Lonchura striata: one gene and its partner. The protein of the gene in region 2 interacts with the protein of the main gene of each other region in a biochemical or structural test. Links are inferred from orthologs where the notes say so. Each region holds a gene or a part of one and is shown on either strand. Other genes may lie near its edges. The genes, in order: methyl-CpG-binding domain protein 1 and ATF7IP.

Region 1 (14,851 bases), on a different chromosome or scaffold from region 2:
AGGGCAGCCAGGTGAGACCCCCCGAATCCCCCCCAGGTATCCAGGAGGGACCCCCTCCACCCCCCAAAAAGGAACCCAGTGTCTGCGGAGGACCCCCCCCACCTCATCCCCTGTGGGGAAACTGAGGCACACACAAGCCTTGGGGTCACAGGTGAGGGGACCGAGGCATCCGGGGGTTCCCCAAAACTCCCCAAAGCCCCTCCTGTGGGGGGAGGGCGGGGACACCTTGGTCCCCTCCCCGACGCCTGGGTCCCCCCGAGGGGGGAGGGTCCGTGCAGAGCAAAGCGGCAAAGCAAGCACAGCGAAGGGGTAGGGGGGGTTATTCCTGGGGGGGGGTCGGGGTGAGGGTCCCGTGGGGGTGGGAGGAGCATTTTGGGGTCCCCCCTGAGCAGAGGGGGGGTCCCGTTACCTTGCGGGGGGGGCGGGGCAGGCGGCGGCGGCTCCGGGCGGCGGCGCGGGGGGGCCGGGGGGGCCGGCGGCGGGGCCTGGACGGGGGGAGGGGGCGGCCGCTCCAGGGGGACCCCCAGCGACCCCCCCCCACCGGCAGCAGCCGCCTCTGCGCCAGGAGAGAGACCTCAGAGCGGGTGGGGCAGTTCCAAGGGGAGGGGGATTTGGAAGGGGAACAAATGCAGGGAGAACCCCCCCCAGGTGGGCCCGGCTGGCCGAGGGACCCCCACAACCCCCGTCTAAAGGGACCCAGGGCGAGCCCCCCCAAAGCCAAGCAATGCAGGAAGGACCCAGGCGTCCACACAACCCCCCCCCCAGAAACAGGACCGAGACGTCCAGGTGCCACCTGAGCGCCGACCAATGCCCCCCTCCCACCCCAAACTTGTCCATACTGGTCCAAACTGGGCTGCACCCAGCACCGGGGCGGCCGGGGGAGCCTGAACCTTGCGCGTGCCTCAGTTTCCCCAGCCGAAGGAAGTCGGGTTGCTGAGGAAAGGGGGCAGAGGGGACGGCTGGGGCTCGCTGGGAGGTTACTGGGAGGCACTGGGAGGAAGCACTGGGGGGGGCACCCACCATGGCACAGCGTAGGCACTGCCTCCAGCGGCACTTCTGGCGCTTGAGGTTCTGCCCCCCGAATTTGGGCTTGTCCCGGCAGAAGTCGCAGCGGCCGCAGTCGGCCGGGCGCCGGCAGGCTGTGCACACCCCGCAGCGCCGGCTGGCCCGGCTCCGCGCCCCCCGCTGCCGGCAGAGAGCGGCGTCACCCCCGGCTCCCCGGCTGTCCCCGGGACCCGCCGCGGGGGCGTCCCCAGGGCCCGCCCGGTGGCCTGGTGTTAGTGTGGGAGCAGCTATTAGGAGCGTTGCGGTAGATGCGGCGGTATTAGGGGCATTACGGCAGCCAGGCAGCAGCAGTGGGTTAGCAGACATTCCGGTAGGAGCAGCTATTAGAGGCATTATGGTACTGAGCCCAGCTATTTGGGGCATTACGGTATCTGCACACTGCTATTGATACCTTGGTTCCTGCCATTACAGCTGGAGCGGTTATTAGGAGGATTATGGTAACCAAACCCTGCTCTGAGGGGTTTTGGGGTACCCGAACCCCATTATTTGGGGCATTACGGTGCCCCAAGCCCACAGCTGGGGTTGCTCAGATGTCGCCATTAGCTATGTACAGTTTTTGAGGTGTCACAGTTACCCCAGCATTAAGGGTATTATGGCTCTGCCACACCAGTATCAGTGGGGTTCGAATGTGCTGAACCCCAATATTCAGCCTTGGAACGGCTCATAGGAACATTACGGTACCTGCACCCCATTATTGCAGAGCCTGAGCCCTGGTATTATTGGCTGGCACAGCCTTTAGGATAATTACGATATCTGCACCCCATTATTCTGGGTCCTGAACATCAGCATTAGGGGCTGGAACAGCCACTAGGATCATTACGGTACCTGCACCCCAATACTGCCCCCTTTTACAGGCCGCTATATTAACAACATTACGGCTTCCCCTGCCCCAATAGCTGCTCTGGGAGGGGCGTGGCCACTGCGGGTGGGCGGGGCTAAGGGACAGGGGGCGGGGCCAAGGCCTGTCACTCACCCCGCGGGGCCCAGGGGCCTTCGGGGGTCGCCCCAGCTTCTTCTTCTCCTTGCCCTTGGTCAGCGGCTTCTGGGAGGGAGGGGGGGTTTGCGGGGGGGGCTGGGGGTTCCAGGTGTGCCCAGGTGTGCCCAGGTGTGCCCCACTCACTCTGTGCCTGGCGCTGGAGGCGTCGCTGGGCTCCCGCTCCACCAGGGGCTTCCACTTCTGGGGGGAGAAATGGGGCTGAGGGGGGGACACCTTGGGGTGCCCCTTCCCCCAGAACAGCTAGGGGGGTCCGCGCTGTGCCACCGCCCGGGGGTCCCGCACTCACCTCCGTCAGGGGCCGGGGGCTCTGCGGCTTCTTGGCCACCCTGGCTTTCTGGGGGGACACAGGGTGGGGGGTCAGCAGGGGACAACGGCGTGGGGGGACAGGGCAGGGTGACACCCCGAGAGCGGGGAGGTGCCGGGGATGGCAGGGTGACACCGAGGGGACAGTCCCACCTTGGGGCGCAGGCAGCGGCGCCGCAGGCAGCGCCACTGGCGCTTGAGGCCGGGCTGCAGGCGCCGCAGGCAGATGCAGCAGCTGCCGCAGTCCTCGGTGCTCAGGCAGCCGGAGCAGGAGCCGCAGCCCAGGCCCTGCGGGGACACCGGGGTTACCCGGGAGAGCAGGGAAAACACGGGATAACGTGGGGAAACGGGGGAAACAATGCAGGGAAATGGGGGAAAACAATGCAGGGAAACGGGGGAAACAACACGGGGAAATGGGGGAAACAACACGGGGAAATGAGGGAAACAAGGCAGGGAAACAGGAGAAAACAATGCAGGGAAACGGGGGAAACAACGCAGGGAAACAACGCAGGGAAACGGGGGAAACAACAAGGGGAAATGGGAAAACAACACGGTGAAACGGGGGAAACAACACGGGGAAACGGGGGAAAACAACGCAGGGAAACGGGGGAAACAACGCAGGGAAACGGGGGAAACAACGCAGGGAAACGGGGGAAACAATGCAGGGAAATGGGGGAAACAACACGGGGAAATGGGGGAAACAAGGCAGGGAAACAGGAGAAAACAACGCAGGGAAACGGGGGAAACAACGCAGGGAAACGGGGGAATAACAAGGGGAAACGGGAAAACAATGCAGGGAAACGGGGGAAACAACGCAGGGAAACGGGAAAATATGGGACAAGACAGGAGGAAAACACAGGGAAAAAACATGAAGAAAAAAATCATGGGGGCAAAAAACACGGGAAAAAAACACAGGGAAAAAACACATGGAAAAGAACATAGAGGAAAAGATGGGGAAAATATGGGGGGAAAGCACAGGGAAAAAACATGGAGAAAAAAACATGGGGAAAAAAACATGGGTGAAAAAACATGGAGAAAATACAGGAAAATAGGGGATAACAAACATGAGAAAATAGGGGGAAAAAACACAAAGACAAAAAAACATGGGGGAACAAACACAGGGGAAAAACCTCAGAGAAATATGGGATAACAAACATGAGAAAATACAGGCAAAAAACACAGGAAAACACAGTAAACATGTAATAATATGGAATAATATAGGAAAATATGGGGAAATATGGGAAAAATAGGAAAATATGGGATAATATGGGATAAACATGGGGGGATACAGGAGAACATGGATGAATGTGCAGCCACAAAGGACAGAGGGACAGGGGGACCGGGAAAAGGCAGGAGCTGTAGCCTCTGTGGGGACATGGGCAGAACATGGAATAACACAGAAAATACTGGGAAAATTTGGGATAATATGGGCTAGCACGGGAGAATACAGGACATGGGTGGATGTGCCAGCACAGATCAGGGACAGGGGGACAGGCCAGGAGCCCTCCAGGGGACATGGAATAACGTGGATGACAGGGAATAGAGTGGAATAACGTAAAATAATGAGAGACAACAAGGAAAACACAGAACGTGGGCTATCAGTAACACAGAGTAACACTGATAACGTTAATTAACACAGATTAATGTGCAGCACCACATTCCTCCCCAGACAACAGAGAGGACAAGGAGGTGATAAAGAGGTGACATAGGAGGTGACAGCAACATGGGGAGAGGGAGGATTGCGGTGACATTGAGGGGTGGCAGTGACAAAGGGGTGCTGGTGACACTGGGGGGTTGCTGGTGACACTGGGGGGTTGACAGTGACATGCAGGGGTGCTGGTGACACTGGGGGGTTGCTGGTGACACCCAGGGGGGTGACAGTGACAAGGGGGTGCCGGTACCTTCTTGACGATGCGCAGGCAGCGGCGCAGGAGGCACTTGGGGGTCCGGCCGGGCCCGGAGGGACCCCCGGGGGGGTTGCGGGCGCAGGCGCTGCAGATCCCGCAGTCCTCAGGGATGCGACAGGCCTGGCACGTGCCGCAGCCCACCCGCTGTGGGGAGGGGGTGTCAGGGCTCTGGGGGGGTCCCCCAAACCCCCTGAGGGATCTGGGGAACGCCCAGGGGCACCTTTTCCCCCCCTGAGAATTGGGGGTACCTTGTAGAATCGCTGCTCCCTGTTGAAGTCTCGTCTCCGGGCTGGGGAGGTGGAGGAAGGGGGTCAGGGTCACCCCAACTTTCTTGGGATCCCCCCTGACCCCACTCCCAAATTTCTTTGAGCTCCCTTCCCCCCCAGAATGGTCCAAAAGAGAGAGAAAGGGAGGCAGGGCAGAATCAGGGAGGAGGAGGAACGGGAAGTTCCCGAGGAAAAAAATTACAATTATGGGGTTGGAGCAATTCAAGGAATGATGATGATGATGATGACGGAGAGGGAAAAGCCCAGGGAATGAAGGACAGGAACAACAGGAAGATGAGGAAGAGAATAAAACACAAAAAGCTCTGAGAGAGCTAAGGAAGATGGGAGAAAGAGAACGAGGAGGAGCATGCAGAGGATGAGGAGGAGGGCGCTGAGGCCGAAGCTCACCACGGCAGTCGGGGCAGAGCCAGCGGCAGCGGCGCTGGGGGGGCAGTGACACCCCCGGGAAGAGGCTCTGGCAGCCAGCACAAAGCCTGTGGAGGAGAAGGTGGCATTTTGGGGGGGGGGGGCAAGGGAACCCCAACACCCCCACTGCCCCCCAGGATCCCACAGCCCCGAGAGAACCCCCCTACTCTGAATTTCCCCCCAGGAACCCCTCAAACTCCCCCCAGGGATTCCAATCCCTCCCTCCTGGGGTCACCCCCTGCTCCTGGGACCCCCTCCCCACACCTGGGGACCCCCACAGCCCCCCAGGGACCACCCCCCTGCCCCACTCACGCCACCACCCCATCCTGGGGGGGCTCCAGGGGCGGCCGCTTCCGGCTCCTGCGGTGGGGGGGCTCCGGTGGGGGCGTGGCCACGGCCGAAGGGGGCGTGGCCTCGACCAGAGGAGGCGTGGCCTGGCGAGCAGGGGGCGTGGCCTGGACGACGATGGGCGGGGCCTGAACTGATGAGGGCGGGGCCTTCTCTGTCTCAGCCCCGTCCACCTCCACCTCCACCTCCACCTCCTCTTCCTCCTCCTTTTTGAAGATTTTGGGGGGCTCTGGGAGGGGCCCGGCGGGCAGGTGCCATTTGGGGCTCTTCCTGGGCTGAAAGGCACAAAAGGGGGGGTCACAAGATGGAGGGAGATCCCCTTGTGAGCCCTCCCCCCTTCCAAACCTCCATTACAGCTCCTCCCCAATTTAAGGACCCTTTTTTTCCCACCCACCCCCCAATTTTGATTCACCTTAACCTCATTCCCCTTGTTTTGAGGAGCCCCTTTTATCCCATCTCTTTATTCCACCCCCACTCTTTTCCTGTTACGAGGCTCCCCTCTCAGGAGAGCCCCAGGTTTTCCTCCCCAAGGTTTTTTGGGATTTTTGTGCCCCCTCCCGTGGTTTTTAGGGTCCCATACCCGTGTGGGGCCGGGCCGCTCCAGCCCCGATTTGAAGTCGAAGTTGCTCAGGTCATGCCCAGGGCCCAGGAACCGCCGCAGCTCGATCTTACTGCGGAACTTCTGCCCTGTGGGGCTGCCAGGGGGCTCGGGTCAGACGGGCCCCAAAACCCCCAGGAACGGCCCCAAAACCCCAGGGGGGTCGCTGAGCCTGGGGGAGCCCCCAAATGCCAAAGGGAGAATGGGAAACGGGGACGGGACAGAGCTCAGGGTACCCCAAAGTTCCCCTGCGATCTCAAAAAGGCTCTCCCGAGCCCCAGAATAGCCTGGAAAACTTGGAGGGGACTGGGAGTATTTTGGGAAAGGGGAATTGAAGTGGCTGCGGGGAGCTCCTGGAGGGGGAGATGGGAGAGGGGCTCTGAAATCCCCCATGAAACACCAGCAGGGGTGGGGGGGTGTGGGATTCCTTAAAATTAGAGGGTTTGGGGGCTCGTTTTGGGGCCAAATGGACACGGGATGGGGTCTAGGATGGGAGGAGGGAGAAGGGGCAGCACGGGCAGTCCCGTGGGGGTGGGCGGGGGGCGCCGGGGGTTTTTGGGGAGGGGTACCTCCTGTAGTAGGTGTCGCTGCGGCCGCTGGTGGCCCCGGATTTCCGAAAAGCTTCGCGGCGCTGCCAGCCCGGGCCCAGCGCCGGGCACTCGGCCCAGCCCTCCGCCATCCTGCGGGGGGGCTGGGACCCCCGGGAGGGGGTGGGGAGGGGGTCACGACCGGCCCCGAACACCCCCGGACCCCTCCCCCAAACACAGCCGGGCCGCGCCCCCTCCCCACGTGACTCCGTCCTCCCCTCCCCCACCGCCAGGGCCACCCCCTCCCCCACACAAACACAGCCCCGAGCCCGCAGGGACACCCCAAAACTGCCCCGCAGCCCGAACTGCCCCTCCCCAAACAGCCCTGAACCGGCCCTCCCCCTCACAAACAACCCCAGGCTGCCCCTCCCCCTCGCCAACAACCCTCGAACTGCCCCTCCCCCTCACAAACTGCCCCTCCCCTTCCCAAACAGCCCCTGAACTGCCCCTCCCCCTCACAAACTGCCACCAAACTGCCCCTCCCCCTCGCAAACTGCCCCTCCCCCTCACAAACTGCCCCTCCCCTTCCCAAACAACCCCTGAACTGCCCCTTCCCCTCACAAACTGCCCCTCCCCCTCACAAATTAACACCAAACTGCCCCTCCCCCTCACAAACTGCCACCAAACTGCCCCTCCCCTTCCCAAACAGCCCCTGAACTGCCCCTCCCCGTCACAAACTGCCCCTTCCCCTCACAAATTAACACCAAACTGCCCCTCCCCCTCACAAACTGCCCCTCCCCTTCCCAAACAACCCCTGAACTGCCCCTCCCCGTCACAAACTGCCCCTTCCCCTGGCAAACCGCCCCCAAACTCCCCTTCCCAGCCCCCTCCCTCACGCCCCTTCCCCCAGACGAACGCCCCCCCCCCCCCCCCCGCCCCTTCCCCCTCAGGGCCGCCCTTCCCCACCGGCCGCGTCTCCCCGCTCGCTTCCCTCTCGCTCCCCGCTGCGGTCCCGCAGCCCGCCGGGCTCTCACCGTTCCCATCCGCCCCCGCCTGTGGCGCAGCTCTTCCTCTTCCTCCTCCTCTTCCTCCTCCTCCTCCGGCGAGGCCGCGGGGGGCGGAGGGGGCGGGGCCCCGCACCGGAAGCGGAAACGCCGGGCGGGAAAAGCGAGGGGCGAGGGGTGCGGGTCACGTGAGGCGGAGTAAACCAATGAGAAAAGGCAGAGCCAGGGAGGGGCGGGGCGATACGCGACCCGTGGAGCGGGGGAGGCACGTGACCGCGCGGCACGTGACGCCAGGAGGGCGGGGATATGTTAATGAGCTGTGTGTGGGCGTGGTTATGCTAATGAGTCCGGAACATTCCCCTCGGGCTCATTGGGGCCCTTTCCCCTGCCCAGGACCCCCTGGACCCCCCCAAAGGACCCCCAAACACCACCAGGGACCCCTCCCCACCCTCCCCACGGATGCTGCTCTCATATCCCCCCAGGACCCCCCCCCAAAGGACCCCCAGAAACCGCCAGGGACCCCCCAATCTCCCCATAGATGCTGCTCCCATTTCCACCTCTCCCACCCCCTAAGGACCCCCCAGTCTCCTCAGGACCCCCCCAAGCTGCACCAGGGCCAGCAAAGGGATCCCCATGGCCTCTGCAGGGTCTGGGGTGGTACCAGAACCCAGGGCCTCCCAAAATTCCCCCAAAAGGGACCCCCAGAATCCCAGAGACCCCACAGGAGCCCCCCTAAATCCCAACAACAGCACAGGGACACCCCCAGACTCGTTTTGCACACCCGGTTTATTTGGGGATGGGGGAGCACCCAGGAATCAGGGGTGGGGGGATGTGGGGAGGGGTCGGGGGGGTTTTGGGGCTCCGGGGGTGGTCAGCGGTCCGAGCCAGGCCCGTGGTCAGCGGTCCGAGCGCAGGTCCGTGGTCAGCGGGTCGTGCTGGATGGTTTGGTGCAGCATCAGCGCCAGCAGCCCCGCCCGGTTGGTCATGGCCGCCCGCACGTTGCGCTCCTGCTCGAACAGCTCGTCCAGCTTGTACCACTGCGGGGGACAGGGACAGTGTGGGGACAGGGACAGTGTGAGGACAGGGACAGTGTGGGGACAGACACATGGACAGTGTTGGGACAGGGACAGTGTGGGGACAGCATGGGGAAGGGACATGGACAGTGTGGGGACAGGGACACTGTCCTGCTCGAACAGCTCATCCAGCTTGTACCACTGCGGGGGACAGCGACAGTGTGGGGACAGGGACAGTGTGGGGACAGTGTGGGGACAGGCACAGTGTGGGGACAGGGACAGTGTGAGGACAGGGACAGTGTGGGGACATGGACAGTGTGGGGACAGGGACACTGTCCTGCTCGAACAGCTCGTTCAGCTTGTACCACTGCGGGGGACAGCAACAGTGTGGGGACAGCGTGGGGACAGTGACACTGTACTGCTCGAACAGCTCATCCAGCTTGTACCACTGTGGGGGACAGCGACAGCGTGGGGACAGGGACATGGACAGCGTGGGGACAGGGACAGTGTGGGGACAGGGACATGGACAGCGTGGGGACAGGGATAGTGTGGGGACAGGGACAGTGTGGGGACAGTGTGAGGACAGGGACAGTGTGGGGACAGCATGGGGACAGGGACATGGTCAGTGTGGGGACAGGGACACTATCCTGCTCGAACAGCTCATCCAGCTTGTGCCACTGTGGGGGACAGGGATAGTGTGGGGACGGCGTGGGAACAGTGACACAGACAATGTGGGGACACCCTGGGGACACCGGGCGGTGGCACCCACCACGCGGACGCGCTCCAGGTCCACCTCGGCGCGGCGCAGCTTCTCCCAGCAGTAGTGACGGTGGCACTTGCGCTTGGGGACGCGGCAGAAGTCCCCGGTCAGCTCGAAGACGTCACGCACCAGCGGGCACCCGCACACCTCATCCGCGGGCACCTAGGCGGGCACGGGGTCAGCGCCGGGCTGGGGACACCCAGAGCCCCTCCGCCACCTCCATGGCCACCCTGGGGTCCTGCCAGTGTCCTGGGCACTGCCCCTGTCCTGTCCCCTCACGTCCACTTTGTGTCCTGGGATTGTCCTGGCCCTCCCTGTGCACACTTTGGGGTCCAGGGAGCGCTCGGGGCACAGATGCCCTAAATTCCACCCCAAAATCTCAATCTGTGCCCACCTTGGGGTCCCGGGAGTGCTCGGGGCACAGATCCCCTAAATTCCACCCCAAAATTTCATTATGTGCACATTTTGGGGTCCCAGGACTGTCCTGGGCACTGCCCCTGCTCCCCAAAGCCCCCATGTGCCCACCTTGGGGTCTGGGAGTGCTCAGGGCACAGATGCCTTAAATTCCACTTCAAAATCTCATTCTGTGCCCACTTTGGGATCCCAGGAGCACTCGGGGCACAGATGCCCTAAATTCCACCCCAAAATCTCAATCTGTGCCCACCTTGGGGTCCCGGGAGTGCTCGGGGCACAGCACCTGCAGCCTCTTGCAGTAGGTTTTGCTCTGGGGGTTGTAAACGTCACAGAACAGCCGAGTGGCCCTGGAGGGGACACAAGGGGTGTCCTGGGTGGGGGGGACAGGGTGCTGAAGGACTCCCCACCCCACCCCAGACAGCCACAATCAAACTCCCCCTTGGGTGCTCCCCTGGGGGGGATGACACCCCCACCCCAAAAAGTCTCCCTTGGGTGCTGCCCTCCCCCTTCCCAGGAGGATTTAGGGGGGTGGGAGGACCCCCCTACCCCAGAAAGCCCCCCAGGGTGCCCCCCCTCCCCAGAGCCCCCTCCCCACTCACCCCTCGATGCGGGTGGGGTACATGGACCCGAAGGACGTTTGGCTCTCGTACTGCAATGGGGTGGGGGAGGTCAAAAAGGGGGCAGGGATGGGACCCCTGAGCCCACCCTTGGCCCTATGGACTCCCAACCCCTATAGAGCCCCCCCGAGCCCTCCCATAGGGTCCTAATGGCCTCCCAGCCCCTATAGAGACCCTCCCCACAGAACCCCCAGTCCCTACAGAGCTCCCAGCAGGTCCTACAGCCCCCCCAGCCCCTATAGAAACCCCCAAAGTTCCTTCGCAGCGTCCCCCCAGCCCCCTAGGAACCCCCCCCAGTCCCCCCAAGCTGAGGGAAGGGATCCCCGTGGCCACTGCAGGATCTAGGAGGGGTGCCCAGCTCTGGGGGCTCCCAAAGTTCCCCTAAAAGGATCCCACAGGAGCCCAGAGAGTCCTGTGGATGATCCCACAGACCCCATGGATGATCCCACAGCAGCCTGGAATGCCATGGATGACCCCAAAGACCCCAGGAATCCAGAGGTGCCCCCAGACCCCCCCCAAATCCCGGGATCACCTTGGCGTAGCAGCGCTCCATGTGCCGCAGGGCCACCTTGGGGTTGATGGGGTGGCCGCAGGACACGCAGAAGATCTGCAGGTCCGTGTCCTCACTGTCCCCCTCCGTGCTCTGGGGGGACAGCGGGGTCAGGGGGTCCAAGGGGGGACCCAGGCATTGGGGGGACACAAGATTAGGGGGCTCCAGGGACACGCAGATGCTCCAGGGAGAGGTTTGGGGGGACCCAGGTATCCATGGGGGACCCAGGACAGGGCTCAGGAGAGACTCAGAGATTTGGGGGATGCCCAGGGGGCACCCAGAATGGGGAAAAATAAAGGGGTTTGGGGGCATCCCAAGAGGGACCCAGAACTAAAGGGTTTTTGGGGGGCCCAGCCCTGCAGGAGCTGAGTGTGGGTACCAGGACAGCAGAGGGGTCTCAAGAGAAAGCCAGAACAGGGAGAATGAAAACATTTGGGGGCACCCAGATATCCACGAAGGACTAAGGGGGATCTCAAGAGGGACCCAGAACAGGGAAAATTAAAAGATGTGGGGGCAACCACGTATCCATAAATAACCAAGTGCGATCACAAGAGGGATGCAAAACGGGTAGAATGAAAGCATTTTTGGGGTCCCCAGCCCTCCGGCAGCCCCGGGGGGTGCCCACCTCCTCGTCCTCGCGGGGCGGGTGCCCCTTGGCGCGGGCGATGAGCCCCTCGAGCTCGTGGAAGCGCCGCTCCATCTCCTGCAGCCGCAGCCGCGCCTGGTGCTGCTCGCGCCGGATGCGCTCCAGCAGCCGCTTGCCGTGCTCCTCCGCCACGCACGGGCTCTGCTGCCACTGCTGGATCCGCTGCGGCAGGATCTCGTAGATCCGGCTGGGATCGGGGTGAGGAAAGGGTTAACGGGGGCTGTGGGATCACAGGGATCCATTGCTGGATCCGCTGCGGCAGGATCTCGTAGATCCGGCTGGGATCGGGGTGAGGAAAGGGTTAACGGGGGCTGTGGGATCACAGGGATCCATTGCTGGATCCGCTGCGGCAGGATCTCGTAGATCCGGCTGGGATCAGGGTGAGGAAAGGGTTAAAATGGGAGCTCCAGGATCCCTGGCATCCACTGCGGCAGGATCTCGTAGATCCAGCTGGGATTGAGGTGAGGAAAGAGTTAACGGGGGCTGTGGGATCACTGGGATCCACTGCTGCATTCACTGTCACAGGATCTCATAGATCCAGCTGGGATTGGGGTGAGGAAAGGGTTAACGGGGGCTGTGGGATCCCTGGGATACACAGCTGGAGATCCGCTGTGGCAAGATCCTGCAGATCCAGCTGGGATCGGGGTGAGGAAAGAGTTAATGGGGGCTCCGGGATCCCTGGGATCCACTGCTGCATTCACTGTCACAGGATCTCGTAGATCCAGCTGGGATCGGGGTGAGGAAAGGGTTAACGGGGGCTGTGGGATCACTGGGATCCACTGCTGCATTCGCTGTCACAGGATCTCGTAGATCCAGCTGGGATCGGGGTGAGGGAAGGGTTAATGGGGGCTGTGGGATCCCTGGGATACACAGCTGGAGATCCGCTGTGGCAAGATCCTGCAGATCCAGCTGGGATCGGGGTGAGGAAAGAGTTAATGGGGGCTCCGGGATCCCTGGGATCCACTGCTGCATTCACTGTCACAGGATCTCGTAGATCCAGCTGGGATCGGGGTGAGGGAAGGGTTAATGGGGGCTGTGGGATCCCTGGGATACACAGCTGGAGATCCGCTGTGGCAAGATCCTGCAGATCCAGCTGGGATCGGGGTGAGGAAAGAGTTAATGGGGGCTCCGGGACCCCTGGGATCCACTGCTGGATTGGTTATGGCAGAATCTTGTAGATCCAGCTGGGATCGAGCTAACAGTTAATGGGGAGTGCAGGATCCCTGGGATCTGCTATGACAGGATCTCATCAATCTGGCTGGGATCGGGGTGAGGAAAGGGTTAAAATGGGGGCTCCGGGATCCCTGGGATCCGCTGCGGCAGGATCTCGTAGATCCAGCTGGGATTGGGGTGAGGAAATGGTTAATGGGGGCTGTGGGATCACTGGGATCCACTGGCGGATCCACTGCTGGATCTGCTATGGCAGGATCTCATAGATCCGGCTGGGATCCAGGTGAGGAAAGGGTTAATGGGGAGTGTAAGTGGTTTATACTGGTCTGTACTGGTTTATATTGGTCTATACTGTAGAATGGTTTACCATTCTGTACTGGTTTACACTGGTCTATACTGGTTTGCACCGCTCTGTACAGATCATTGCTGGTTTATACTGCTCTGCGCCATTCTGTACTGGTTTATACTGGTCTATACCAACCTGTACCATTCTGTACTGGTTTATACTGGTTTGTGCCATTGGGTACTAGTTTATATTGGTCTACACCAGCCTGTACTATCCTTTACTGGTTTATACTGGTCTATACTGGTTTGCATCACTCTACAGATCATTGCTGGTTTATACTGATCTGCGCCATTCCGTACTGGTTTATACTGGTCTATACCAGCCTGTACTGTTCTGTACTGGTTTATAGTGGTTTGTGCCATTGGGTACTAGTTTATATTGGTCTACACCAGCCTGTACTATCCTTTACTGGTTTATACTGGTCTATACTGGTTTGCATCACTCTACAGATCATTGCTGGTTTATACTGATCTGCGCCATTCCATACTGGTTTATACTGGTCTATACCAGCCTGTACCGTTCTGTACTGGTTTATAGTGGTTTGTGCCATTGGGTACTAGTTTATATTGGTCTACACCAGCCTGTACTATCCTTTACTGGTTTATACTGGTCTATACTGGTTTGCATCACTCTACAGATCATTGCTGGTTTATACTGATCTGCGCCATTCCATACTGGTTTATACTGGTCTATACCAGCCTGTACTGTTCTGTACTGGTTTATACTGGTTTGTGCCATTGGGTACTAGTTTATACTGGTCTACACCAGCCTGTACTATCCTGTACTGGTTTACACTGGTCTACAGCAGCCTGTCCTGTTCTGTACTGCTCTATACCAGCCAGTACCATTCTGTACCAGTTTATACCAGTCTATACCAGCCTGTCGTGTCCCGCACTGGTTTATACTGGTCCGTACTGGTGGGTACTCACTTGGCAGCCAGTTTGATGCCGCAGGCCTCGCTGCAGTACTTGGAGGGCGGGCGCGCGGGGCGGGTGCAGCCGGGGCCCAGGCACTGGCCCAGCCCCGCGGGGTCGCGGGCGTCGGCGCGCTCGGGGTGCCCGCGGCGCTCGCGGTGCCGTGCCCGCTGCCGGTGCCGCTTGTAGCGCTCCTCCTTCTGCACCAGTAACCCCCAGTGAGCGCCAGTAACCTCCCAGTAAGCTCCCAGTAACCACCAGTCATAGCCCAGCACTGCCAATGCTGTGCCCGCTGCCGGTGCCGCTTGTAGCACTCCTCCTTCTGCACCAGTAACCTCCCAGTAACCTCCCAGTAATCACCAGTCATAGCCCAACACAGTCAGTGCCGCTTGTAGTGCTCTTCCTTCTGCACCAGTAACCTCCCAGTAACCTCCCAGTAATCACCAGTCATAGCCCAACACTGTCAGTGCTGCTTGTAGCGCTCTTCCTTCTGCACCAGTAACCCCCAGTTAGCACCAGTAACCTCCCAGTAACCTCCCAGTAATCACCCAGTCTCCACCACTCATAGCCCAGTAACCTCCCAGTCACCACCAGTCATAGCCCAACACAGTCAGCGCTGCTTGTAGTTCTCTTCCTTCTCCACCGGTAACCCCCAGTTAGCACCAGTAACCTCCCAGTAACCACCAGAGCCCTCCCAGTGCTGTGCCCGCTGCTGGTGCCACTAGTAGTGCTCGTCATTCCACACCAGTTAGCACCAGTTAACACAAGTAACCTCCCAGTCACCACCCAGTCACCACCAGTCATAGCCCAACACAGTCAGTGCTGCTTGTAGCGCTCCTCCTTCCACACCAGTTAGCACCAGTTACCTCCCAGCATCCTCCCAGTGCTCATTCCGCCATTCCTCCTTCCACACCAGTGAGCACCAGTAACCACCCGTCACCAACCAGTAACCACTGCTCGTAACCCAGCAACCACCCAGA
Region 2 (15,188 bases):
TTGTAACAAGCACGGCTCAAAATACAACAAGAGGCATAGTTCACTTTTGTTTCCCAAACAAAAGCTTTCCCAGAGAAACATAAAAGGTATTTATACAAGATACAGTCATTTACACAATGTTGTGAATTGTTCCATTATCATGGGATGGAAACTGACATACCACTAAAAATTACAGTTATTTAGTACTGTATAGTTAGTACCATGCTCTCAGCTACACCTACAAGGGAGTCTTTACTTTCAAAAAACCCCTGAAAGATGGGGGGAGGAATGGAAAGGGGAAGGCAGATTTGCTGTTAAATATACAGGCAATTTAAAAAAATATACACCAGCAGTACTAAACAAGATAAGGAGTGAGCAATGGAACTAGCAAATCCACATTTCATACAAACATTGTCTTGCTACTTTTTACTCGGGTTATCACTCATTCCTTACTACACCAAGCAAGTAAACACTGGACACTGGCTCATGTACTGACTGATAGCAAGTTATTCCCCCAAAACAACATATAATTTCAAAACTCCCTCACTGCCAACACTGGTAAACTCTCCTCACTCCAGCTGTTCATTTTCTCAGACTTTACAGATATTAATTATTAATAATTAGTAATTATTAATAACTAATAACTATATTTGATACTTATTTTTATATTTACTGAAAACAAAAAAGTTTTGCAATAACTACTAAGAATAGAATAACTAGCAACAAATGTTCACATAAAAAAGGACATGGGCTTGTTGGAATGAGTCCAAATGTAGGCAACCAAGATGATTAGAGAGACTGATCCCCTCTCCCAAGAAGAAAAGCTGAGAGAACTGGGGTTGTTCAGTCTGGAAAAGGCTGTATAGATACTTTCGGGACCTTCCAGTGCTTATAAAAGAAACCTATAAAAGAGTTGGAAAATAACTTTTTATAAGGTTATGAGTTACAGAACAAAAAGTAATGGATTCAAGCTGAAAACCAGTAGGTTTATATTAGATATTAGGAAGAAATCCTTTCAGGTGAGAGTGGTGAGGCACTGCAGTGAGGTGGTTAAATTGTGAGGAATGCCTCACCCATCTAAGTTTTCGAGGTCAGGCTGGATGGGACTCTGAGCAACCAGGTCTAATGGAAGATCTCCCTGCACTTCAGGACAATTGGGAGTAGATGATCTTTAAGGTCTCTTCCAAATCAAACCATTCTATGATTATGATTTATTTTTCAGTTAAAGCATTCTGGCTTTTTTAACGCTATCTAGTACAACATGAGATGAAAGGAAATACAAAGCTATATAAAAGTCATATGCAACGGAAAAATCTGCTTACAACTTTGGAATACGTTTTGGCCTATATATATCGTCAGACAAACAGTCAAGGAAAAACAGCGTTAAGAACTAGAACACTCATTAAAACCAGAATATGCAATTTAAGTTAAAAAATTGCCCTCCAAACAAAACAGACTCTCCTTTCTGAATCACACTTCCACAGGAAAAAATAATGCATTCTGAAGAGCAAGTTTCTAGAGAATGAATATCAGTGCTTTATATTTACATCAGATGACACTCACTTTTATAGTCTAATCTGTAGACTGATACTGTACTTCAGTTAGATGCTTTCAAAGACTTAAGCATTGTACACACAAAATCAAGAACTTCTTGACTGCCATTATTATAAAAATACAAAACGGAAAAAGAAGTTAGAAAAACCTGAACATGAACAAAAAATGAAGACATCTAAAAACGCTATCAACAATACACAAAATCTTTTCAGCCAAATAAAAACTAAGATCTCCATAATATTATGTAAAATTATGCATTTGAGAAAATAACCAGAACTCAGAAGCTGAAACAATCTGTGTTCCAGAGCCTCCTAACCAAGTATTAAAAATATTATAAGTTACTTCCTCTGACATCATCCAGTAGGCTTTAGTGTCTAAACCAAGGCCCAAGTAGAGAAATGTTAAATATTAGGTATTACACAATTCATACCTAAACCATATTCAGAGATTAAGATATTCTACAGCTATCTGACTTGACAAGAAAAATTTACTTTAAAAACAACTTAACTTTCTGCTTTTAATGAGCTGTCAAAAAACCAGCAAACAAAAAATCTTGCCACACACAACAGCCCTATATTACTCTCCAGCCTGTATTTGGACGAGTCACTGTTGCTTGATAAACAGCTTCTTACAGTACAGTGGAACTAGGAGAATTTTTTCATGCAGTACACACAGTTCAGTGAGCAGAACTGAAATACCAGGACTACAAATATTCATCACCAAAGCAGCATTTATATTGACCAGTTCACAAACTCCCACTAATTTTGTGTGAATAGGTCAATCTCTCAGAGTAATGTTGCATACTAGAGAAGATCAAGGAGACCAATGAGAGATATTTCTCAAAATTATTAATAACATTATATTTCATTGCACTTAAGAGCGGTATTAAAAATGTATCAAGGAGAGGGAAAAAATCCCAACTCCTCACACTCACATATCGTAACAGTTTTGTAACTTGCAACTTATTTTCTTCATTTATTACCCCTTAAGAAAATTGTGATGAACTCCCAAAATAAAATCATAATGTAAACATGGAACTAACTCATAATACAGAAAAAAACACCAAAGGTAGAACAAATAGTAAAAAAAAAATTAACGTGTAAACTATTAAGTAAGAACAAGATACTGGTTTAAAGGATCTTTTGGCTTACATTCCATTAATAAACTTCTGCTTACATTCCATGAATAAACTTGACATTTTTGCCATATGTATAGTTTCTGACAATTAAATTGAGATAAACCTAATAAATAGTTACATCAATAAAACATCTAAATGGTGAGAAATAAGGTTTTTTCCCTTATTTTGAAAACAAAATACAGTATTTGGCTTAGTCAGCTCCTTTTCATGGTGAAAATACTTCTAGTTTGTAACAGGAAACACACGCAAATACAAAGAAAATTGAGTTACTAATGACAAATCAGTATTTTAGAATTCATTGAACATACAAAACATTTCTGTTTGCATTGGATTCTGTAAGAGCAATATTTAAAATTTAATTATTAACTAGTAACTTTTATTAAGTTGTTCAGACTCTTTCTCGGCTAGCAAAATCACCTTCCAGCAATGATGGTAAGAAAGCATATGCTTATGTGTTTTATGTCCCCAAGGGAAGCATTACTAAAGGAGCTTTTATAGAGAAATTCACACATTACAATTAATGTTGATTTTTTAAATTTGTGAAATGAGTACAATAATAACAAGCTACTGCTTATAGAGGTACAGGAAATGTGGCAAAATGATGTGCGTGTCTATTAGAATCAGCATCTTCTTAAAAACAGACTTCATATGGGGTAGAAAATTAGAGGTCTCACAAAAAAAGCACCAGAATAACTACTTAAATTGATGCATATAATTATTGTTGTATCATTTTACAAATAAATACTGCTTTGATCAGTTTCAAGTCTACATGACATCCAAGACACTCTCTTGATAAGTTATTTCATACAGCAGAATGCAACACTGTTCCGTACTATCACAGAAAGCATCAGCTCAGCACTGCTACAGCTGGTAGAAAGGTTGCAGCTGATACAAACACCATTTACTCCAAAATAATGTACTATGTTCTCTAACCTAGAAATGTAACAAGAATCCAAAGTTATTATTAATATAATTCTCTCTGGAATATATACACATAGAAATTTAACTTGGTACTTTTGGAGCATGTAAAATAATAACTGCTGTATGTCAAGAATAAATAGTGAGTGCAGTTACCACGATTCATGAGTTGCATAAATCCTCATGTAGTTCTTAGTGAATTTATTTTATAATTGGCCTGAAACAACCACTAGCCCCATTTCATAGATCTGAAACTCAGACATTACCTACCCAGGATCACGTATCAAACAGCAGTGGTTTTTGTGTTTGGTTTCTTTCCCTTCAAGAAATTCTTAATATCTGCAGCAACACTCTCCTTCATACCTTCCTGCAGGACTGCAAAAACCAACACCTAATTAGAAAACCATCTATTTTTTACACTGATAACAGATCGTTGTGTACAGATTTCATATTTAACTTATTAATTCCACATTTAAGCAGAGATTAAGAACATTCTACACTCTTCTGTTTTTGAAAAAATAAGTATTCTGAACTGTAACAAGCACATGTATATATTTTAACTTCCAAAAGAGATACAAATAGCATGCTTGTAAAATAGTCTTATCTTGCAGAATTAAGTTCTAATAAACGTATTCATGCATTTCTTTGTATAGTTGCGGATATTAAACAAACATACCTATTAACATACTTCCTCTTGTTAGCATAGTAAATGTCTAGATGTGTAACGTTTTTCTGTGACCGAAGCCTGCATTTTAAGCTCACTGACTGCTTCCTAGAACAGCAGAGCTGTTCACTCCTTTATTTTATGCAAGTACTTTTCCATCAACATTTCCATCCAACTTTTCGAGTAAGTCTATCTATGGTAAGGATTGCAGTCATACGACGTTATTAGAATGATTTCAAGATTACTGTTAAGCAACAAAATATCCTACTATCAGCATTTCCACCGAATATCTGCCAACGACTGCAAAATCCAGAAAGATGGATTTTGCTAGAACAAGCTACTCAAGGGCAAGGCTACACCAGGCCTCAGAATTAAAGAAAAAAACCGCTTAACTCTGAAGAGTTTCGATATTTAAAATACTTAAGCTAAGGAAGAGGAGAGGTTGGAATGTACCTTCTTTAACTTAGTTCATGTCTTAAACTCTTTTGCCATGCTGCCTGATATGGGCAGCCATGACACCTCGAGGAGCCGCTTGGGCCTTGTTTACTGGTGGCATCACACGAGTAAGCACAACTTGCCTTCTCTGTTGCCATACAGAAACTGTCTGGTTCCCAATGAACAAGCATATCGATAAAGCAGAGAAACTGGCTCCTGGTGCCTACCAGTGCAAGAACACCATCAACAGTTTGCCCTCGTTGCTTGCACAGCCCATGCGCTGCGAGGTCCCACGCCCGCCGCGCCGGCGCGGCCCTTCCCGGCGGCGCCAGACGCCGCCCCGGGCGCGCCAGCCCAATCCCGGCAGGGAGCGAGGGAACGCTCTCGAGGCGCCGGACGCCCCCGTCCCACCCAAACACGCGCCGCCGCCTCGCCTCGCCTCGCCCGGGCCGCGTGAGGCGGGTCGCGCCCGGGCGGGTGCCCGCTGCTGCCCGGTGCGCGCCCCCGTCAGACCCACCTGCGCCCGCGCCGCCGCCGCCGCCAACCCGCGAATGCAACGGGCACGCGCACGCGCGCCACCGCCGCTGCACTGGAGCCAGGTCACGTGCTCCCATGCATGCGCGTGTACAGAGGTGCAGCTTCCTGGCGCATGCGCGCTGTTGCTGCTGCAGCAGCTGCAGTCGCCGCCGCCGCCGCGCGGAGCAGCGAGCACGGCCGCCGCCGTGCCCTGCCCGCCCGGCGCCCGCGCCCCGAGCGCGCCCCGCAGTACCTGCGCCCTCGCGTCCCGCGGCAGCTCCCGCCCGAGCAGCCGCCGCCGCCGCCGCCGCCGCCGCGGATTCAAACTCGCAACGCGCTCCGGACGCCAACACCGCCTCCCCGCGTCACACACGCCGGCCGCTATGCAAATTAGCCCAGTGTCTCCTCCCCTCTCTCGTTTGGCCCCGCCCCCTCCGTGGGCACAGGGGCCGGCAGTGGGGGGCTGCTCCGGAACCGGCCAATCGCAGGGCCGGCCATCTGCGTGGCATGCAAATAAGCCTCCGTGATATTTAAATGAGCAGTGGCCCCGCCCCCTGGCGCGCAGCCGTGCAAGTGTAGGCGCATTAAGCGCCGGGGCGCGCTGCGGCCGCTGCCGCTAGGGGGCGCTGTGGCGCACCGAAGGGCGGTGCCGGGAGCAGCCGGCCCAACCTGCCTTGCTTCCTGCCTTCCTCTCTTCCTTTCCCAGCTTCCCGCCACAGGAGCTCCAGAATCGTGGCTCTGCAGCCTCTCTGACACCTTCGAAAGCCCGCCTGAAATCCGCCAGGCTGCGTTATCAGTGAACTGCAGTGCTCTCTGCTCATTCCTTATCACGCCTCGTGTCTCACTTCTGGGCTAGGGTTGTGCCTGACCAAAGCCCAGATGTTTGATAACGTGCGCTGAGGTTCAAGAGGGCCAAGAAACCAAACGGTGCCTGTTAGTTCTTGCTTTTAGGTGAATCTGAAGCACATGGGTAATCCTGGGTGCGCTTCAGGTCAAAACCACAAGTGCTATTCCCCATCCACCCTCCATGTCTGCCTCAGGCACGGGGGAGAAAAACACGCAGCCTGCTTTGACGTGAGCTAGAACTTGGTGCTCTTTGTAGCACAGCCAAAGGCAGAACTGACCAGCTGGTGGTCTGTCACATGAGGCATGGGTCAGGTCTAGGAGAGAGACACATGGCTGTGTCCTTAGGTACACAAGAAACCATGAGAGCAGAGATAAGCATGTGTAGATTCTTGGCAGAAGCACCAGTCACCTACTAATCTGGTACTGGAGAATCCTGTTCTCTCCTCGTTAAGGCAAATAAAGATCACATGCTTCCTATTGAAGGTGTGAAAACCAGCATTTTTATTTGTTTTCTTGAAAATCAAGCTAAATATAAATAAATTTTCTGTCTGTCATATATGGACCAGGCTGACCAATAGGCTTCTCTGTGCACGTATGTCATGAAACCGTATCTATTATACAGCCATTTTCAGAGTCCTGTCAGGTGTGCTTGGTGGATTGGCTAAGGAAACTTTCCTGTGTGACTACCCAGGAACCACTCTGGCAGTTACACTTGCACCACCAAAGCTGGGACTGAAGCTGCTTTGCACTGGCGGCTCCAGCAACCAATGGGTGCCTCACTTGACTTTCTACCCTCACCACACTCTCAAAGTCAGATCAGGTTTTCCTTACTGGTTTGACGCCAAGTTTCCTATAGCAAAGTCTCCAACATCTGGATCCTTAAAATAAAAAAATCACAGTGCAACAACAGAATAAGACCTGGAGTTGGTGCTTTGGAGGAGGGATCCTGAATAAAGGAAGCCCTGAACTTTTATACCCTCCCATTCTATGCACACTATAGTCTGAGGTATTCCAGCTGAGTCCTTGGCTCCTGCCATGTCTCTGAGTGTCCCGATCACGTGGCAAATGCCACAGGCCCTTTGCTTCCATTGTTGTGCAAAGGGCTGCCACCAGTTCACAGCCTCTTGCCCCTCTGGGACTCCTGCCGCCCAGAGCTCAATCTGCAGCTGCACTGCAGCTATACACCGAGCTACCTGCACTGAAGGTTTTCCTCAACAGATTGAGGGGCAGTAGTTTAGGGTTCTGCCATTCCCAGTGGTTTGCCTGATCTCTCTGCTACTTGTTGTTGTTGTTGTTACACAGCCAAGATGCAACAAGGAAATGTACACGCGCCCATAAATTTGCAAATACGTCACAACAGGGTTTAAGAAGGGGTACCAACCTGGAACTTGAACAGCTGAAATGGGAACATGCATCTTCCTCAGTGTCTTTGCTACAGGCATGAAAATTTCTAAGAGGAAGTGTGGTAGAAACCTGTAACCATAATGTCTTAAACTTTCATTGTTGAGCTACAGTTTCATAGTGAAATATTTTGTCTTGAAAAAAGGAATACATTAATTTGAAGTTGAGTCTTCTGAGCTTTTGTGTAGACAGACTACAAGGTTTTTCAGAAAGAAGAAGCCAGAACTACCCAGAAGTGGGCAGTTCATAGCCATGCCTATTGTTTAACTTGTAAATTCCCTTCTGGTGATCACTTTTGCAGGGTTCTTGCATAAAAATCCTTTGTGAGTCAATCAGGATTGAATGCTTTCTGGCTAAAAGATGAGTTTCCAGAAGACCGTGAATCTCTTCAATCTCTATAATCTCTTTGAATAACTAGTGTTATTTGAAACTTAATTTAGTATAGAAGCCATTACAGCAAGGCACTTTTGTTCAATGCAATACAATTCATGTAGTAAAGAGAGAGTTAAGAACGAGAGCTAGCACCAATCTCTTCTCTCTGGCAACCAGTGACAGGACATGAGGGAACGGCATGCAGACGATTCAGGGGAGTTGTATTAATGTAGCTGTTTTAGAAAGTTAGTGTCCTGCTACGGCATTTCAGATACCAGCAGCAGTAATAGGACTGTATCCTTAAATCTGAAGAAAAGATAATATTTGAATTACAAGATTAGGAATTTGAGGAACTGAAACTCCAGATTTTTGTCAACCACTCTTCCTATGACTGGTCACACATTTGAAAAAGCAATAGTATTAGTTAATATTGCCCAGCATCTTTGCAAGAGGAATGTTAAAATAAAAAAAATTCAGAAAAACACAACTTCATCAACTTGTCTCTATTTGCAAAATGTGAGGGTTTTGCTGTAAAAGGCAGGTGCAAAGCAAACAGTACGCTGGAATTAAATTAACAAGACAGAAAATTTTAACACCACAAAAAAATAGATATCCATCTAGTTTCCTGTCTGATTCCTCTATTAGTGTGTTCAATCATTGTAATGATAAACACAGAGAAAAACATATATTCCAATGCACTTTACAAAAAGAATGTTAAAAATTGGGCATCTTAAGTGCAACAGAGAATTTCTTCTTGATTTCCAATTCTCCAATGAACTTCATTCTTAAAATCTGTATACAATATTTAATTTTCTTATTTCCAGGTAGTGTTATAGGACACCTTCCAGCCTATGAATATCACTAGAAATCTGATTACATGATCATTCTCTCTGTATATCAGATTGTGTTAGACGTGTGATATTAACAACATTAATATTTTCAAAATATTAACTCTCCCCATATGATTTAGTAATTGCTGATGGAGTCATTGCAGGGTCACAGTGGGAATGCTAAAAGGAAGAAAGGAAAGTGATGCATGAAGAAAGGTACAATTCTCAATACGAAAATATACTTTTTATATAAAGACAACTGCTGACTTTTAATAAAAACAAAAGACAATCGTAAGAAATATTTAGCAAGAGGGAAAAAGTAATTTTATTTCCAGCAATTTTAAATCCTTACTGGAGAACATGTATTTAAAGACCTCACTTTGCTAAATGGCTGACACTTTTGAGCCAGTAGGATTTACATTGTTTTTAGTAAATCACTAGTTTAGTCAGTGTTTCTTACATATTAATTGCCTAATAGGATGGAATGATTAAACTTATCTGATTATAAACAATTCCTACACAGGTCAAAAGAAACACCATAATACCAGAAAGTCATTTCACTAACAGAAATATTTTTGGTAAGAAAAAAATAAATCCTTATCTGACGACCTGATCTGTGATTTGGCACTGTTATGTTAATGGTTCAACTTGCTAATCATAGAGGTCTTTTTGAACATTAACATTTCTCTTGATTTCAGTCTTCAAGAATTTCACTATGAAGGCTTAAAATATCACTGATAAAGGAATTGCATGTTAACTTTCTGGTAAAGAAAAACAGAAAGCTTTTTAAATTCCTTTTTCATACAAGGGCGCTTTTTTTAATACAAAACTTTAAGAACATCTGTGAATTTATGTTAAGACATTTTATAAATCTTTTAAATATATTAACTTCACAGTGTAAGAACAAAGAGCAGAAACATGGAGAATATAACGAAAATACTTGAGGAAATATTTCTGTAATTAATTAAAGCTGGTTAAGGCATTTGCACTTAGGTTACTTTTCACAGTAGATTAAGTACCTTCCTCTAATGTGAATTTTGTAAAATATGCTGTTTTTATCTATTATCTTTAAGGCTAAGTAGAGGATTTGGGGAAAATTCCTAAATGTTCTGTATTCCTCTTTGATTTTATGTTAGTTTTAAAAAATAAATTTTACTGATTATGAAATAAATATTCTCCTGATCAGCTTTTTTTGATCAAACTTACTTTGTTGTGACTTTGGTGTAGTAACTAACTAATTTATTTGCTGAGCAGACATATTTAGTTTAAACGCCTACCAGTCATTTTTCCCATGGAGTTGTCCTCTCTCACTTCGCTACCTTCCACCTCCACCTTAACAAATAATATCTAACTTCATTTATGGTTTTAATAAGAAAATCTTATTTTGTAGCAGTGATATTTGTATAATTCAGTGGTAAGTACAAAGTCCAATTAATGAAAAAGCCATGTTTTTTCCAGTTTTTAAAATTTGTTCTACTAAACTATCAGTATTTTGAGATACAGGCAAGTATCTTGTCAATTTTTATGCTTAACATCTATTAAAGAGTCTATCAGACTTTGAAAGAAAAAGTGATTTTAACAAAATGTGATGTGATTGACAACCGGAATCCATTAAATGAACATCCTTTCCAGAAGAATCTAAAAATAAAGTGAAACTGAGCACCAATCAGGAACATTTTTTGGAAGGAATAGCCTGTCTCCTATTGTCTCATTTGATATGAGAAACTTGGGAAACCTAGTTGTAAAACCAGTACCTAATATACAGGATATAATCACTAGAAGTATTCATTTGGCCATGAAATAAGCTGGTTGCCATCAAGTGTGTTGACTGAAATTTAGTTCCTGAACACAGTTCTCTTTCAATTACTTCAGGAAAATTGCTCTAGAAATAACTTGGTGTGGAAGATGTCTTTCTTCCTCTGAAAACGCAAAGTAATACAAAGTCGTCAGGTAAAGTAGCATTGTTATTGCAGTACAAGTTGAGGATTTAGTGCTCAGTTTTAGCTCCCATAATACTTTTTAGATGCACAATGCTTTAGACTACACAGTTTTCTGAACATGTGTCTCATTAAGTTTTATCCAATACAAGTATTTTTAGAATTGGGTAAAGAAATATAAAGAATATTTTCTATGATTCCTCCTTGGGAATATATTTTGACCTGTTGGAAGGAATCTGTCTGAACATGTCTGGAATGTAATGCATACTGGATGTTTTCAATAAATAAACTGATCATCTCATCTGCAAATCATCTGAAATGTGTGGGTTGATTTTTGTCTATCCTGAATGTCCCTTAGTCTAAATAAATGAAAAATGAAAAAAAACTGACCTTGAATGCTGAGCAACAGAAATACATTGGTAAAAGGCGTACCCTCAGGGTGAACCATTCTTCTCTCAGTTTTCTTATTCTCAGCTCTAGCCTTAAGCTTTTTTCAATGTCATACCCGCTTTAGATCCTTCTAGAAAGTGGAAGACTCATGGGTTAATTAAAGTGGTATGTCTCAATAAATTATGCATGTCTGGAGGAAACTGCCAGTGAAGAATCAGATGCTGAGTGATTTACTAACAACTTTGAAAGGTAAAATACTTGGGCTTAGCAGCAGTGAACTTTTCAAGATGATGTTAATTACATAATAACTGGAACTTCCCAGTATGATCAACCTTCTACAGACTTGCTGGAGACTTTGTAAATAAAAAATTGGCTGACAGATGAAGGGTGGAATGTAAGAAACAGTTTGTTTGGATTTATTTACTTAAAATTATCAGTTTTGTTACTTCTGTATTTCCAGCTTGGGTTGAATTTTCTCCACGATGTCTTAAAGTGAAAATGAAGGATAACTTAAACCTTACTGTATTTGTACAAACCTAAAAACGCAATCATATTTCTAAAAAAAAACCCATCAAGTTTTGGGTTTGTCTGTATTCAGTTGACCATTGTTTTTGCTAGAAGTCATTGTCTTCCTTTAAAGACTCTTCCTAAGTGAAGTTGTCATGTGGTATTTTTTGGCCAGATTCTGAGTACTTTGTCAGTACTTCTTCCTGTAGGGTTTTATTATGTAGTAAACAAAGATGAATATTTCTTTTATAAAAATAGCTTAGATAATATCCAACCTTTCCTCCAATACTGAGGCATGGAATTAACCAAGACACATGATATTCACTGATACTGAGTAAAGTCATCAATAAATGGAGGAGTCAGCACTGCCCATTGGCAGTTACCATGCTGTTACTTAATAATGCATTTAATTTCCATGAATTAGAATAATTTTAGATGATTTCTCCAGAACATTGGTGTACCTGGGGAAGTGAGAAAGAAAGGAAGGTGGGAAGGCAGGAAGGCAGGAGGGGAGGGGAGGGGAGGGGAGGGGAGGGGAGGGGAGGGGAGGGGAGGGGAGGGGAGGGAGGAAGGAAGGAAGGAAGGAAGGAAGGAAGGAAGGAAGGAAGGAAGGAAGGAAGGAAGGAAGGAAGGAAGGAAGGAAGGAAAACACTAATAGGAAAACCTACTTAGAATTTGGCTAAAAGGCTAACATGTACATATAGAGAAAAATCTTACCCCTCTACCACTGTAGCAGAGCCCTCTCACAGAGACATTCCCTATGGTCCACATTCTCCACAAGCTTCACTTACAACATGAAAAAAAGCTCCCTGAAATTACTCCACTCCCTAGCAATGTCCGGTTCAAGTTTTGTGCACTGCCTCTCCCAATTACTTACTATCATTATCTCTAATTCCTTCAACCACATGTCAGACAACAAAACAGACTGGGGTGACTTAGCCTTGTTTAACAGTCAGATCCCCACTCAGCTGCTTTCTCACTCCCCCTCTTCAACAGGGCCAGTTAGAAAAAATAGATTAGGACAGTCAAGACAGACAGTGAAATCACTTACTTGTTATTACTGCTGGGAAAAGAGACTTGACTTGGGGAACATTAATTTATTGCCCATTAGAATTGATTAGGGGAATTAGCAAAATTAAAACACCTTTCTGCCTTCCCTATCTCAAAATAAGTAGAGCCCAAAGTTATTATTGTGTAGTAAATAATGTATTTCCTTTTATTCTTCACTTTTTGATAACAATGCTGAAATGTTAGTTCCTTTTAACACAAGCTGGTACAGGTTCTTGCTTTGTTTCTGTTTTTCTGCTCTATCTTATGAATTGAAATTTTAATGTCTTCTTGACATAGCTCATGTAAGTCATTACTATTAATACTTTCAACATACAATTAATTATTAACAAAATAATATTTTCAAATGTAGCTAATTTGTTTCAAAATGAGGTGAACAACTTAGTAAAATTAAAACCAAATCATTATCTCATCATACTCAGTTTTTTCATTATGATAGGGTAGGGCCATATTTATAACGCAATCTTTTCTGTGGAAGAAGTATCCCTGTTGGAGCTGGATAAAGAGAAATGGCTCATGCAAAAAGCCCATAGATACATTAAAGATGTTGTGCTGCCACTCACTTGAGGACATTGTTTAATGGTTTAAACTATGGGTTGACAATTGGACTTGATATTAGAGGTATTTTCCAACCTTAGCGCTTCTAGAATTCTGTGATTCAACAGCATGTTCTAAGTGCTTATAACATCTTTGAGCAAATTCACTCTTTACTTTGCGTTTTCACCCAACTTTCAGGTGCCAATGCTACTCTTCAGAATTTATTTGAAAGAAAATTATGTTTTACTTTCATTTGTATTACATTAATAGCACTTAATGAAAATATTAAAATTTATTTCATTGAAAATGCAGACTTTTTTTAACCAATAAACATTCATTGTGTGACCTCCGTTATCACCATCTTCTGTTTCTAAAGAGAAAAAGATCTCTAGAACTCCACACCCTAACCAGAATTAAATAGCCCACTCTCATTATGCTAATGATGAGTTGCCTAAAATTAGAGGAATACATAATTTTTTAGTGTATCTGATAGTAACACTGTCAGACACCAAAATAAAAGTTTTTGTGTGAGAGATGACAGAGAAGTAAATACATCACAACACTTAAAATAACATACCTTCCACACAGTGTTTGATTAACAACAGACCTGGACAACTACAGAAATAATTGTCAGAAATACCACTAGAATATTTGATATATTTTGAAAGATTGTATCTATTAAAACCTGCTTAACTAATTAAATTTATGCAGTCATCTTTTCTGTCTTTACATCCTTCTCTTCATAATCACTCTTCCATTCCTGTCCCCAAAACTTGACCCATCAAAATATATTTTAATATTGTATTGAAAACTGGTCACAAGTGGCTGTCAGGGAACAAAACTCTGAACAAAAAAAATTAAACCCTCAGGTAAATAGTCATCCTATTTCAGATTACTGAGGGTTTTAGATGCATTTCTTTCCAGTCTTCTGTGTAGTTCTGCATTTTGTTCTAGTCTCTTGCTAATGTCCAGCCCATTTACTTCTGAGATGTGTCCACAAGGCATGTCTCTTTTTTGGCTGCTTCAACAACTCCAGGGTGTCCATGGTTTTTCACTTCTACCAGAAATGTTGCAAAGGGGTCATAGGTTTGTGCTGTTTCAGATTATGCTTGGATGAATAACTTTCTTGTGCTTTGCAGGTTTGTGGCTTTTTTTAGTGGTCATGCTCCCTCTAATTTTAAAGTGGCTTCTTCAAATAACTCAAAAGTAACAACCATTTGCAAGAAGGGTTTTGGGCTTCCCTTACACTGTTCTGCTTCTTGCCAAGGATTAGCACCATGGTTTTACTTATTACTTACTTCCTAAATCACTGGTGGAGTGGTAAGTGGGAAGAGTAGTTTTCCTAGAAAAGGAAACAAAATGCCTTTAGGGATTTTTTCCCCATTCAAGATGATCCCTTCATGATGTCTTCTCTCTGGGCATGCTCAGGCATGTCCACGCATGTGTGCAAACGTTCTTCAACTCCCATAAGTACCTTTAGAGGAAACTAATTCCACCAACATATGGATGGCATTCATGGAAATAACGCATCTGCCTGTTGGCAGAACCATGACCACAGTGGTGTGCATGATATTGGGTAGTGCAGCCCACTTGAATGTCTGGGTTCTGCTTTTAGTGAACAAAACTATGAACAAGATGTTTTCATCGTGCTTTTCAGAGCCACGGAGTGGCCAATGGTCACATAACCATGTAGGGCAATGCAGGGAATGCAGCCTGGGCTCTGTGACACTGGTCTATGGGTGGAGCCCCAGGGACCCAGGGCCATGGCAGCCTCAGCGGGACCCATTCCCTGGCAACACGGGAGGGATTTGGTGTTGCCTGACACCCCGGACTTGGAACATGAGGTACCTCTGGAGAGGTTAGAACATGGCAGGGAGGGGGGGAGAGGGTGTGGCCCCAACAGGGCAAGCAGCAGGAGCAAGGATCGGCTGAGGTGGAAGGGGCACAGTGGGTGTCTGTAGGAAGGTGCTGGGTGTGCCGGGCCAGCATTGGCCTGGTTCTGCAGGATCTGGCTCTGGCCGTCCCTGCGGATGGCTCCCAGCACTCACAGCTGGCCCTTCCAATATGCTCTGTGCCTCCCTCTCCAGTCCACAGAC

What was found.
Region 1: the proteins of ATF7IP (region 2) and methyl-CpG-binding domain protein 1 form a complex in vitro, tested with the Homo sapiens proteins (2 studies listed by BioGRID). The link is inferred for Lonchura striata from reciprocal best matches to the Homo sapiens genes ATF7IP and MBD1.

What each region holds. Positions count from the first base shown.
Region 1 is NC_134638.1:839,067-853,917, forward strand, and holds the start of methyl-CpG-binding domain protein 1, read right to left. Parts: upstream 7,578-14,851; 5' UTR 7,481-7,577; coding exon 7,472-7,480; intron 6,602-7,471; coding exon 6,480-6,601; intron 6,008-6,479; coding exon 5,893-6,007; intron 5,588-5,892; coding exon 5,277-5,587; intron 5,033-5,276; coding exon 4,947-5,032; intron 4,562-4,946; coding exon 4,521-4,561; intron 4,417-4,520; coding exon 4,267-4,416; intron 2,654-4,266; coding exon 2,519-2,653; intron 2,397-2,518; coding exon 2,349-2,396; intron 2,243-2,348; coding exon 2,186-2,242; intron 1,186-2,185; coding exon 1,021-1,185; intron 1-1,020. Other genes in the region: CXXC1 (CXXC-type zinc finger protein 1), read right to left, coding at 8,338-8,478, 9,224-9,376, 9,879-9,975, 10,228-10,277, 10,778-10,888, 11,421-11,628, 13,887-14,071. UniProt on the Homo sapiens protein: Transcriptional repressor that binds CpG islands in promoters where the DNA is methylated at position 5 of cytosine within CpG dinucleotides. Binding is abolished by the presence of 7-mG that is produced by DNA damage by methylmethanesulfonate (MMS).
Region 2 is NC_134607.1:57,509,879-57,525,066, reverse strand, and holds the start of ATF7IP (activating transcription factor 7-interacting protein 1), read right to left. Parts: upstream 5,741-15,188; 5' UTR 5,458-5,740; intron 5,388-5,457; exon of another isoform or gene 5,206-5,387; intron 3,965-5,205; exon of another isoform or gene 3,860-3,964; intron 1-3,859. UniProt on the Homo sapiens protein: Recruiter that couples transcriptional factors to general transcription apparatus and thereby modulates transcription regulation and chromatin formation. Can both act as an activator or a repressor depending on the context.